3 linked regions of the Macaca fascicularis genome follow. The protein of the gene in region 3 purifies or fractionates together with the protein of the main gene of each other region. This does not show direct contact. Links are inferred from orthologs where the notes say so. Each region holds a gene or a part of one and is shown on either strand. Other genes may lie near its edges.

Region 1 (4,275 bases), on a different chromosome or scaffold from region 3:
GTAATGCCTACCCCCCAGGGCCAGTGGGTTGATGAGGTGAGAGGGTTTTGTAGATGTTCACTCGCAAGTGCTGTAGATGTAAAGATTGTGGTTAGGAGTGGCCGGCTTGGGCCTGGAGGCTATGATTTCTGACTCCTGGACTGGTACTTTGCCACAGGCCTTTCCAGCCCTCCTCAGCCCCAGTCCCTGAGGACAGTCTGTGGCTGCCCCACCGGGAGATACCCAGCTTTGGAATTGCTGAAGGAGACCTCTCCAGGAAGGCTTCTCCACTTGTGTGCCCCACCATGGGGCCGGCCTGCTCCCACCCCACCCACTTCCCCTTCTCCAGGATAAGCCCGATGCAACAGCTCCGTCTCCCAGTGTCTCAGCCTCTCTGGCTGCTCAGCCCAGCCTGGTCCAGCTGGCTAGGCTGGCATGGACCCTAGTCTGGTGGCTAGTTATAAATAGCCCCTGCACCCACAGCCTTGGCAGGGTGCTCCTAGCATGGGTGCAGAGGATTCTTGAGAAGAGGCAGCCGTGCCTGCCATCCTGACCATGCCAGGCCCAGAGCCGCCGTGGAGGCACCCAGGAGCAGGCCCAAGGGCACATGGGCCCTGTGAGCTGAGGAAGCTGCCCTGGGCACAGGGTTTTGCAGGCCCAACGTGGCTGGTCAGGTCTGGCTGTAGGCTTGAGGCATCACTTTATCTCATGACTGGGGATAGAGCATGGGAGGGTGGCGACCCAGAGGGCCTGTGAGGCTTGGGGCTGGAGGCGGAACAAAGTGGGCCTGTTTGCCTGCCTGATTGCTTCCTTTGAGCCCAACTCATTAAAGGGCAGCTGGGCAAATCCTCTGATTCCAGGGAGGGATGAAGGGAGGGAGAAGGCAGGGCCAAGAATGTCCCACCATAGGACAATGTCCCATCATAGATCACCGTAGCCCTCAGCCCCAGGCCCAGGGAGGAGCATGTTTAGTGGAAGAGCACGGTGGTGAAGTCGGAAGGCTCCATTCCAGCACCACCAGTGATACAGTGTAACTGCGTTCAGTTCTGTGACTTTTTCTCACGAGTAAAATGGAATTGATAACACCTACCTTGCAGGACCATGACAGGATTAAGTGAGGAAAACCCCATGAGAGTGTTTTGCCATTGTCAAGTGAGCCTGAGGGAGGCTGATGGAGGACCAGGCTGTAGTCATGCCCCCGAGGACAAACTTTCCAGCTTACCCTGCTCCCTCTCTCTGTCCCCAGGCTGCCCCAGGCCCTGTGCAGACACACCAGGCCCTCAGCCCCAGCCCATGGACCTGCGGGTGGGCCAGCGGCCCCCAGTGGAGCCCCCACCAGAGCCCACATTGCTGGCCCTGCAGCGTCCCCAGCGCCTGCACCACCACCTCTTCCTAGCAGGCCTGCAGCAGCAGCGCTCGGTGGAGCCCATGAGGGTAAAGATGGAGCTCCCTGCACGTGGGGCCACCTTGAGCTTGGTCCCCAGCCTCCCCGCCTTCAGCCTCCCTAGACCCCAGTCTCAGTCCTCAACTTCTTGTTCCTTTCTGGGCTGCCGGCCCTGCCCACAGCTCTCCATGGACACACCGATGCCCGAGTTGCAGGTGGGACCCCAGGAACAAGAGTTGCGGCAGCTTCTCCACAAGGACAAGAGCAAGCGAAGTAAGGAGGACACCGCCCCAGCCCAGCCCAGCCCCACCAGCCGGGTGCCTGTGGCTGCCTGTATAGCTTGTGAGGGGTGAGGTGGGAGGGGCGCAGCCAGCTGAGCCGAGGCTTTCCCCCTGCTTGCCTGGGCTCCGCCTGTGAATGTGTGTGGGATGTGGGGTCAGGTGGGGAGTGTCTGGAGGCTTCAGGGAGGGGTAGGGCCTTGGTCTTGGCTCTTGCGCGGGGAGTCCCTGGGACGCCTCCTACTGAGGATGGGGACAGGGCAGTGGCCAGGGAGTGCCATGAGGCTGCCTGTCCACCCACCTCCAGCCCCTTCGTGACTCTGCCCCTACAGGTGCTGTAGCCAGCAGCGTGGTCAAGCAGAAGCTGGCAGAGGTGATTCTGAAAAAACAGCAGGCAGCCCTAGAGAGAACAGTCCATTCCAACAGCCCCGGCATTCCCTACAGGTAACACCGTCCTCACCTGCCCTCCTGTCCCCACATGCAGCCTCCACCCCCACCCCCGTGTTAGCCATGAGCACACACACACGCCTCCTTCCTCCCCAGCTGCCACAACCAGTCCTTAACCTTCCTCTAAACATAATGCCCCCAAGCCCCTCTCTCAACTGATACGTGCCCTCTTCTCTCTTTAAATTCTCTCCCCACCCCCACCCCACCCGAGGCCCTTCACACACACATACACACACCCTACTGGCTTTTTTCTTGCACAGGAGCCCCTTCTCTCTTTATATTTTCCCTGAGCACAAAAATGTCCTGGTTCCCAGAGCAGGTTCCTAGTGCAGGTGACAGAGCTCCCAGTGGGCTCTTCACCTACGCACCAAGCACCTGGCTTCTATGCCTAGGTCAGAGCTCTGCACTGTAGCTGCTGGAGAGGACAGGTGGCCCACTGCTGCCACCTGGAGATGGTCCCCATTCCTACCAGCCCCACCTTGCCCAGCCCCACAGGTCCCAGGGCTGGTGCTCAGGGCGGTGCCCGTGCAGTGTCCCCACCCCTCTGAAGCAGCCTTGGCACTCATTCTGTAGAACCCTGGAGCCCCTGGAGACGGAAGGAGCCGCCCGCTCCATGCTCAGCAGCTTTTTGCCTCCTGTTCCCAGCCTGCCCAGTGACCCCCCAGAGCACTTCCCTCTGCGCAAGACAGGTGAGCTGGACAAACAGGTGGGACCTTTCAGGCAAAGGAAGGGGGAAGGGCCTTGGACATAGGGGAGGAGTGTGCAGGGGTGGGCGGGCTGGACTGGGCCAGGCCAGGGGATCGTCGGTAGGCTAGGATCTTCGTTCTGGTTCTGCCTTCTCTTTCCTTGACTGATAGAGATGACTGGGACTGAGGGACTAAAGGATGGAAAAAAAGAAGGGTTGGGGGGGCCTGAGTGACGCTGGTGCTCCCTGCAGTCTCTGAGCCCAACCTGAAGCTGCGCTATAAGCCCAAGAAGTCCCTGGAGCGGAGGAAGAATCCACTGCTCCGAAAGGAAAGTGCGCCCCCCAGCCTCCGGCGGCGGCCTGCAGAGACCCTCGGAGGTGAGGGCCGGCTGAGCGGGTGCAGTTGCCATCCTCAAACCTGGCTGGTCTTGTCCCTTTGGGTCAGGCCCTACCTAGACAGGGGTCCCCTCCTTAGGACTGCCATGCATGGTTGTATGGGGGGTGTCCCACATACTTGCCGAAGCACGGGAGTTGGGGCTGAAACCCAGTCCCTGCTCTGTTAGCTAAGGTGACATCTCCCAGAAAAGAGGACACCCTTCAAAAAATTGTGCAGAGGTTCTGTAGGCCAAAGGTGGCCTGCCTTCTTCCTGCTCTTATGGGAAGAAAGCAGGAGGCGAGGCGTGGTGGCTCACACCTATAATCCCAGCACTTTGGGAGGCCGAGGCAGGTTGATTACCTGAGGTTAGGAGTTTGAGACCAACCTGGCCAACATGGTGAAACCCTGTGTCTACTAAAAATACAAAAATTAGCCGGGCATGGTGGTGCATGCCTGTAGTCTCAGCTACTTGGGAGGCTGAGCCAGGAGAATCGCTTGAACCCAGGAGGTGGAGGTTGCAGTGAGCCGGGATCGTGCCATTGCACTCCAGCCTGGGAAACAGAGCAAGACTGTGTCTCAAAAAAAAAAAAGAAAAAAGAAAAAAAGGGAAAGCAGGAAGCAAAGGTGCCCGTTAAGGAAGGGGCTGCTCTTGGGTCTCCTGCACCAGGTGGCCTGGCTGTGCCCTCCTGCCCACCCTGGCCTCTGACTGCACTTCCCTCTCTCCCCAACCCTCAGACTCCTCCCCAAGTAGTAGCAGCACGCCTGCGTCAGGGTGCAGCTCCCCCAATGACAGCGAGCACGGCCCCAATCCCATCCTGGGCTCGGAGGTAAGGCCTTGCCGAGACTGGGCTCTCCTGGGGCAGTTCTGAGGCTCAGTCTTCTTCCAGCAAGCGGCCCTACCCGGGCTGAGGCTGCAGGGTCTTGGCAGCCCCTGCCAGAGCCTCCTGGGTGTTCTGGGGAAGGTGCGCTGGGGTAGAGGTCTGGGACCGGTGACCCTCGCCCTGCTCCCTATGGCAGGCGCTCTTGGGCCAGCGGCTGCGGCTGCAGGAGACTTCTCTGGCCCCGTTCGCCTTGCCGACAGTGTCCTTGCTGCCCGCAATCACGCTGGGGCTGCCCGCCCCTGCCA
Region 2 (4,275 bases), on a different chromosome or scaffold from region 3:
ACACTTCAGAGTACTGTTTTGAAGATTAAATAAATACATGGCATTTGGTGTTGTATGTGTGTTTAATGTTATCTAAACATGTTAGAATCTTACATTGATAAGATAAATTAACAGCTTTCTTTATTCTATTTACAAACATTGGAGAGCTTAGGAATAAGGATCCAAACATACATGAATTTTATTTGGAAGTGCTTTTATTTATTTATTTATTTATAGACAGGGTCTTACTTTGTTGCCCAGGCTAGAGTGCTGTGGCACAATCTCGACTCACTGCACCCTCCACCTCCTGGTTTCAACCAATTCTCATGCCTCAGCCTTCTGAGCAGCCAGGACTACAGGCGTGTGCCACTAGGCCTGGATAATTTTTTTTTTTTTTTGTACTTTTAGTTAGAGACAGGGTTTCACCATGTCGGCCAGGCTGGTTTTGAACTCCTGGCCTCAAGTGATCCGCCTGCCTTGGCCTCCCAAAGTGTTGGGAATATAGGCTTGAGCCACTGTGCCTGGCCTGGAAGTGCTTTTAAATAGCAAAGAAGGAACAACAGTCTTATGTTTAATTATTATGAACTTAAAGCAAGTAATAGTTGTATTAAAAGCTTATCCACTACAAATATGTAACAACCTGATAGGCCAGGTGTGGTGGCTCGTGCCTGTAATCTCAGCACTTTGAGAGGCTGAGGCGGGTGGATTATGAGGTCAGGAGTTCGAGACCAACCTGGCCAACATAGTGAAACCCTGTCTCTACTGAAAACACAAAAATTAGCCGGGTATGGTGGTGCGTGCCTGTAGTCCCACCTACTCGGGAGGCCGAGGGGGAAGAATTGCTTGAACCTGGGAGGCGGAGCTTGCAGTACGCTGAGATCATGGCACTGCACTCTAGCCCGGGCGACAGAGTGAAACTCCGTCTCAAAAAAAAAAAAAAAAAAAAAAAAAAAAAAAAAAAAAAACGGCCTTCATCCCTTGGGCCGTCAGCCCTCCCAGTCATGTAACAAGGAAGGAAAAATGTAGAGAAGTCTGAAAATCGGCCCCACTACAGCAAGTATCCTCTAAATTGCTCTCTAATAAACTTTCCTAAGATAGTCTATTCCTATAATTAGAAAAAAAGGCTACGCAAATATCCTAAATTTAAAATACAAGTTAGGTAGCATTTACATGCATTTCCAGCATCTTTGTAACTGCTCACTGACTGCCTTAATCTAAAACAGCATGAAATTAAACATTATGTTATGGCACCCTCTTCTGGTAACATAACTGAACTACTCAAATAAAATTATGGTTAGCATACCCATTTCCCCTTAGGATTTAAACATATTACCGCAATAAAAATACTGTTCAGTGGTTACAACAATAAAATGCGTGAGGAAAGAGAGAAGACATCGAGAAGGATGTTATCGACTCTACAAGACATATGTGGCACTTTTCAGAGGTTTTAAGAATCTCGGACACCACGCTTTAGCCACTTAATCAACATTTTACTAAGTATCTGATACAAGCAGGTAGGATGTTGGAAGCCAGGATACAGAGCTGACGAAGGTGGACCTTGCCCTGAAGTTGCTTGCAGTTAACAGTTACAACCCCAGAGAGAGACCTGTCTGGAGTGCATGGGATCACAGATGAAGGGATTTAAATCAGAGGAGAAGGTGTGAGAAGGCTTTCTCCAGGTTTTGATAACTAAGCAGTTTTGAAAAAGGCCAAGCTAACTGGATGCTCAGCGGGAAGGAAGCTTTTAGGCAAGAAGCAGCATATGAACACAGAGCTGAGACAATCATACTTGATTTCGCAGGGGAAAGTGGCTCAGTGTAAAGTATCCAGGTTAGTAGCAGAAAAAGCAAAGGCCATATCACAAAAGGCCACATATGCTAAGTTAAGGAGTTTATTTATTTTTCTTTGGAGAACACAGGGTCTTGTTATGTGGCCCAGGCAAATCTCCAACTCCTGGGCTCAAGCAATCTTCAGTTTCTACTTCCCTAAATGTTGAGATTACGGGTGTGAGCCACCACGCCCAACAAGGTAAGGAGTTTTAAACTCTTTCCTAAAAGCTATAGGGAGCCAATAATGATTTTAAGCAACTGTCAAGATCTGATCTACATATTAGAAACATTTTCTATTTAGAGACATTTTAAGTTACTAGCACTTGTGAAGTCACTGAATAAATACCTAGTATGCATTAGACATATCTCCTAAACCCATAATTTAATCAAGTGACTGAAAACAAAACTAAACAAAGCTAAAATACAACTTTGAAAGCACAAAGAAAAAGTTGCAGTAGCTACGTGAAACCATTCTTAGTTACCTTTTAAACTCGTCATGGTAGAACTCGGACTTGCAAGTTACCATCTCGCTACCCTGGGCGTCCTCACGACTTCGGACTCCCCCAAACACATACAGCTCCATAGCAACTCCACAGGCCACTGCTCCAAACCTGAAAGGCCACACACAGCGTATCAGGCACAAGCAGTACAACGCGAGATCTCACTCCCTCGTTCCTCTTATGCTGGCTTAACTCTGCAGCATTACTATGTAGGCCTTCCTTTCTCAGGAAATGCCAAGTCAAAGAAAAGGTTACTCTGAAAGAAAAGAACAAAACCCAGGCAGGGTAAGGGTAAGGGCTCCAGACCCAGTGAAGAGTTCACCCACATCCGTGTACCTCCTCTCTTTCAGGGGACATATGGCAGTCCACTGCTGGGTCCTGGGATCATAACACTCCACAGACTCAAAAAGCTTTCCATAGGAGCCTCCACCCATGGCGTAGATTTTCTTTTTCATAGCTGCATAGCAGCCGATCTGAAAGTAGAAAACAATGGTGGGGGAGAGGCAACTTTTCTCATTCAGGTCAGGTGGTGCCCACCACCAGGGTAAACTCTCATACACGCCCACCTTCCTATCTTGGTGTGTGGCTGATGACAGGGAAGGCAAACTACCAATAAAGGCAGACTTCTATAAAGTTAATTCTTTTAACACTATCAGTTATATTAAAGGTTTATTCAGGATATGAAGACACATTAAGTTTAAAATCCAATGTGTACACAAACTAGTTACCACAAAATGCGGTCCTCACCTTTCTGACCATGGTCAAATCAGGTTGCTTTGTCCAGGTTTTAGAATAAATATCGTAACACTCCATGGAAATCAGCTCCTTTTCACCATCCTCTCCTCCCAAAATGTACAGCATCCCATCTATCTCCACAATTCCGAAGTTATGTCTTGCCTGAAACGACATCAGCGATCTCTGAACACACAAGGCCAAGGATCATATTAAAAGCTAATATTCATATACTTCATAAAAATTAGAGAGACATAAAGATGGCAACAATAGCCACTGGGGACTCCTAGAGCAGGGAGGCAGGGAGGGGAGCAAAGGCTGAAAAACTAACTATTGGGTATGATGCTCAGTACCTGGGAGACTGGATTAATCTTACTGCAAACCTCAGCATGATGCAATATACACACGTAACAAACCTACACATGTAGGTTTATACCTACCCCGAGTATAAAATAAAAGGTGGAATTATTTTTAAAAATTAGAGACATCTCTTTTTCCCAGTGTTCCAGCTGGAAGTAACACGTTCAAAACCATTTCTCCGGTAATGCGTCTTTTTTTTTTTTTTTGAGACGAAGTCTCGCTCTGTCACCCAGGCTGGAATGCAGTGGCGTGATCTCGGCTCACTGCAAGCTCCGCCTCCCGGGTTCACGCCATTCTCCTGCCTCAGCCTCCTGAGTAGCTGGGACTACAGGCACTCGCCACCGCGCCCGGCTAATTTTTTGTATTTTTAGTAGAGACGGGGTTTCACCGTGGTCTCGATCTCCTGACCTTGTGATCCGCCCGTCTTGGCCTCCCAAAGTGCTGGGATTACAGGCGTGAGCCACCGCGCCCCGCCCCGGTAATGCTTCTTTAAGATTTCTGGCTTCCCTAGCAGCCCCTCTTCCAGCACAGCAGCCAGAGAGGCCAAAGTCATTTCTCAAAACAAGGTTATGAAATACATGGTGAGTTCCTCAGAAAATCCTCACTTTTTAACCCATAATAGCTCACAAAAAGAAAATGAACTGTTACCTCTGATTCAATACAATTATTTTTGCATAACAATGGGCAGTATTTTCAGGTTGACGTGGGAAAGGTTAGTATTGACCAGGGCAGAAAGGGCTGTGGAGGACAGGGTCAGGCCAAGGCTATTTGGGATCACAGAAGCCCTAGGTGTTTCATGTCCGTTTGTCAACGAATATTTACGTAGTGAACCCTATGTGCCAAGCACGATTCTAGCGCTGAAAATGAAACACTGA
Region 3 (3,847 bases):
ACTCAACGGGCGGGCACTGCATTTTGCTATCCTGCCTCGTCCCGCTGCTCTAGAGGGTTCCCAGCTCTCGGGCCAGACGGGTGACAACTTGTCTGAGTGAAACCGGGAAAGCGCCGCCCCTCGGCGCTCAGCAGGCGGCGGGGGCGCCGCTCAGTCAGTCAGCTAGTTGTGGCGTCCGCCAGGCCTGGCGGGCGGCGGGAAACTCGCCGCGCGCGGTCCGCCGCTCAGTTTCCCATTGGCTCGTCGGGTCCCCCGGGGTGGTACCCTGGGGCAGCTCCCTCCTGTGATTGGGTGGCAGAGCCTCGGGCCCCGCCTCCAGTCCTGGCTGTGAAGGCGAGACCGAGCAATGCGGCCGCAGGTTCCGGCGTGTTGCTGGCTGCAGAGAGCGGAGGCGGCTGGCTCGGCAGGCAATGCTCCCAGCGGCCATTCCCACCCAGCTCGTCCTTCCTCCCCACCAGCCCGTTTCCTTTTGTCTCCATTTCCGAACTCTTTGGGACGTGACCCTCTCCTAAGATCTGGGCTTTTATGGCGGCACTGCACCCCTGCCTCAAATCGTACTTCCCTCCGCTGAGATCTGAGCCCTTGATGAGACTGTGACCCGCCTGTAAATCGGGTGCTCAGTGCCGCTCACTACTGCAGCGCTGTCCTTAGATCTCATGCCGGAGACTTCACTATTTCCTGTCCCGCTCCACCTGAGCTCGTCAGCCTCCCGCGCTGCGGCTCCCACTCACCTCCCCTCGGCCCTGCAGAGGAGGCTCGGCGCCTCCTGTGGGTTCACCTGACCCTCCCGGTCCCATCCAGTTTGACTGGGGCCGCCCTGATGGAGACAGCCGGACCCCGGCCTCACCTGGACTCAAAGTCTTGCGTGCAGGTCACTGAGCCACCCAGGGAGGTCAGGGCCCTAACTCAGAGGTCGAAAGTCAGGATCTCTAAATCAGATTCCAGTTCCACTCCCAACCCATCGCCAAGAACTGGAAAGAGACAGGAGGAGTGTCACAGGGGAACTTTATTGAGAGGAAACATGGTCACACCCAGCAGACATGCTTTCCTTCAATGTCGGTCTTGCACTGGCGCGCGCGCGCACACACACACACACCCATCTCCGGCCCCTGCCACTGTCCAGTTCTCAGCCACAAGGCGGGACATTCCTCAATTCCTACGACCAGAGGCAGCAGGGGCAGGAGTGAGGCAAGAGGGAGGGGAGAAGTAGCCTGGTCCTGGGGTCGGGAGGAAGCGGTGCGGAGAGCAGGGCTGGGGTCATGACCAGTGGTTAGGTGCGCTCAACAGCTGCAAGAAGAGTGGGATCCCCAGCCCCAGGTGGCCTCAGCTCTGCCAGTCCCTCTCCACGGAGCCGTTTGGAGTAAGAACAGCGCCTGGGGGAGAAGGGTGGGGCCTCCCACCCCATATTAGTCCTCTCGGCAGGGTGGGGGACTGAAGGGGGCAGGGCAGGGTGGGGCGGTGGTGGGCAACACTCAGCTCTGGGGCTCCTGGGGAGCCTCGCCCCCCTCTTCCCCGGCGTTGTCGGCCGTCCACAGCGTCAGGTTGTCTCGCAGCAGCTGCATGATGAGGGTGCTGTCTTTGTAGGAGTCCTCGCTGAGGGTGTGCAGATCAGCCATGGCCTCATCGAAAGTGGTCTTGGCCAGCGAGATGGCCTCCTCGGGGCTGTTGGCGATCTCGTAGTGGAAGACGGAAAAGTTCAGGGCCAGGCCCAGGCGGATGGGATTGGTGGGCGGCATCTCCTTCTTGCTGATGTCCATGGCCTCCTGGTAGGCTGACCGGGCTGAGTCGATGATGCGCTTCTTGTCGTCACCAGTGGCCACCTCGGCCAAGTAGCGGTAGTAGTCGCCCTTCATCTTCAGGTAGAAGACCCTGCTCTCCGCGTCCCCAGCCTCCTTGATGAGATGGCTGTCCAGCAGGCCCAGCACGGTGTCGCACACGCCCCGGAGCTCAGTCTCCACCTTCTCCCGGTACTCACGCACCTCGGGGCCCTTCTCCTCCGAGCCCTCCTCATTGCTTTTCTGCTCAATACTGGACAGGACCCTCCAGGCAGCCCTCTGGCCGCCCACCACATTCTTGTAGGCTACTGAGAGCAGGTTTCGCTCTTCGCAGGAGAGCTCCTCACCTTTCTCCACGGCGCCCTTCATGAAGGCTGCCATGTCCTCATAACGTTCGGCCTGCTCTGCCAGCTTGGCCTTCTGGATCAGACTGGCTCTCTCCATGGCTCTGGGGACACACAGGCGGGCGGCGGGCTAACTGCTGCCTGGGACCAATGCCGGACTCTGTGCCTCTCCTGCTCTTGGCCTGCCTTTTGGCTGGGTGGCCAGGCCCAGAGAAGGGTGGGGAGGAGCAGGGGGCGGGACCAGGGCCCAAGACCTGCCTCCCTCTCCTCTCCTCCCCACACCCTTTCCGGCTCTGCAGTCAAGGTAAAAAGGCTGGGATGTGGGGGTGAGTCATCAGAACAGTCAGCAGAAGAAATCTGGGCGTGGGCCCCACCTGCACAGGCACCTTTCCAGGCTCTAGGCTGCCCCCTCTTGTTCGGGGCTGGCATCATATGGCTGCTCACATCAGGAAACTGCCTGGCTTCTCAAATCAGATCCTCCTTCACAGCGTCCTTACAGAGGCTAAGGGCGGCTTTAGCCCCTGGCTGCTTCTGCCTCGACAGAGCCCATAAAGGTTCAGGAGGATGGGGTTCCCAATCCTGCCAGGTAACTTCTCCCCTTGATTCAGGTGAGGATAACTTATGTTTAGGTAGGGCCATAGAGTTTCCCAAGCACTTTCATATTCACCATCGAATTTAATCCCCACTGTGTCTCTGTGACACACACAGGACCACAGAGATGGGAACACTAAGTCTCAGAGAGGGGTGAGATTTGCTCAAAGTCACATAGCCACCACTTCCCTGAAACTCCTTTCTGCACCCTGCTTCCTTTAGCTTTTCTCCCGTTGAAGTCTCTGACCTATGAGCTCCAGGCTGTGTTTGGAAGTGAGATCCAGGCTCTTTCTCAATCTACCTGAAGATGGTTCCATCCCTCAGGCCTCACTCCCCCTCAGGGTCCCCTCTGAGCTCCCAGAATGCGCAGGTGGCAGCTTTCAGAGTGCCACTTAATGAAGTGTTTAACAAGCAGCCTCTGACGCTCCAGCCCAGCCTTTGTAATTAGTCACCCAGTAGGTTTGTTGGACACATTTCCCATCACTACACAATTTTCCCTTTCAAGTTGGTGGCCTGTTGCCACTTGTTTGAGGATTTACCCTCTGGCCCTCCACACCAGGTCACTTGCCCTCTCCAAGCCACATGCCATCAGGTACCAGTGGGGTTCACAGAGGGTGGGGTCCAGCTCCCCGGCTGTCCCACTTTCCTGCCTGACTCAGACTGCTCTCTGTCTGAGGCTGGGAAGCAGTCCAGTTTGATCCCCCAGGGGGGACGCTAGCAACCTGGGGAGAGAGAGGACTGAGAAAGGGAGGTGGCAGTGACACATACCATTCTGTTTTATGGGGCAGCAATCCCAGCTACTCCCCCAGCCTGTCTCTCAGAAGTTTCCCTGTTCCTTCCTTTTTTTTTTTTTTAAATAGAGACAGGATCTCACTACATTGCCCAGGCAGGTCTCAAACTCCTGGGCTCAAGCAATTCTCCTGCCTCAGCCTCCCAAACTGCTGGGATTATGGGCATGAGCCACTTCCTTCCTTTTGACCATTACCCCACCTCTGACCCCTGGCAGAGTCCTCAGATGGAGACCTCTGTTGCCAACCTTCTTTCCCTGCTTGCTGGGGCCCTGGCCTCAAGTTTCATCAGGAGTTTCACCAAAGGGTGTTGGCATTGAGCCTACAGGGATGGATTCCTGCTTATCTG

Evidence for each region. The genes of interacting proteins can lie anywhere in the genome.
Region 1: the proteins of SFN (region 3) and HDAC7 purify together in Homo sapiens (affinity purification with mass spectrometry; 3 studies listed by BioGRID and IntAct, with this or other methods). This does not show direct contact. The link is inferred for Macaca fascicularis from reciprocal best matches to the Homo sapiens genes SFN and HDAC7.
Region 2: the proteins of SFN (region 3) and GAN purify together in Homo sapiens (affinity purification with mass spectrometry; 3 studies listed by BioGRID and IntAct, with this or other methods). This does not show direct contact. The link is inferred for Macaca fascicularis from reciprocal best matches to the Homo sapiens genes SFN and GAN.

What each region holds. Positions count from the first base shown.
Region 1 is NC_088385.1:54,538,064-54,542,338, reverse strand, and holds part of HDAC7 (histone deacetylase 7), read left to right. Parts: intron 1-1,225; coding exon 1,226-1,413; intron 1,414-1,545; coding exon 1,546-1,636; intron 1,637-1,973; coding exon 1,974-2,085; intron 2,086-2,661; coding exon 2,662-2,777; intron 2,778-3,025; coding exon 3,026-3,151; intron 3,152-3,884; coding exon 3,885-3,976; intron 3,977-4,166; coding exon 4,167-4,275. UniProt on the Homo sapiens protein: Responsible for the deacetylation of lysine residues on the N-terminal part of the core histones (H2A, H2B, H3 and H4).
Region 2 is NC_088394.1:77,247,808-77,252,082, reverse strand, and holds part of GAN (gigaxonin), read right to left. Parts: intron 3,206-4,275; coding exon 3,056-3,205; intron 2,782-3,055; coding exon 2,645-2,781; intron 2,420-2,644; coding exon 2,291-2,419; intron 1-2,290. UniProt on the Homo sapiens protein: Probable cytoskeletal component that directly or indirectly plays an important role in neurofilament architecture.
Region 3 is NC_088375.1:208,247,171-208,251,017, forward strand, and holds SFN (14-3-3 protein sigma), read right to left. Parts: upstream 2,284-3,847; 5' UTR 2,220-2,283; coding exon 1,473-2,219; 3' UTR 989-1,472; downstream 1-988. UniProt on the Homo sapiens protein: Adapter protein implicated in the regulation of a large spectrum of both general and specialized signaling pathways. Binds to a large number of partners, usually by recognition of a phosphoserine or phosphothreonine motif.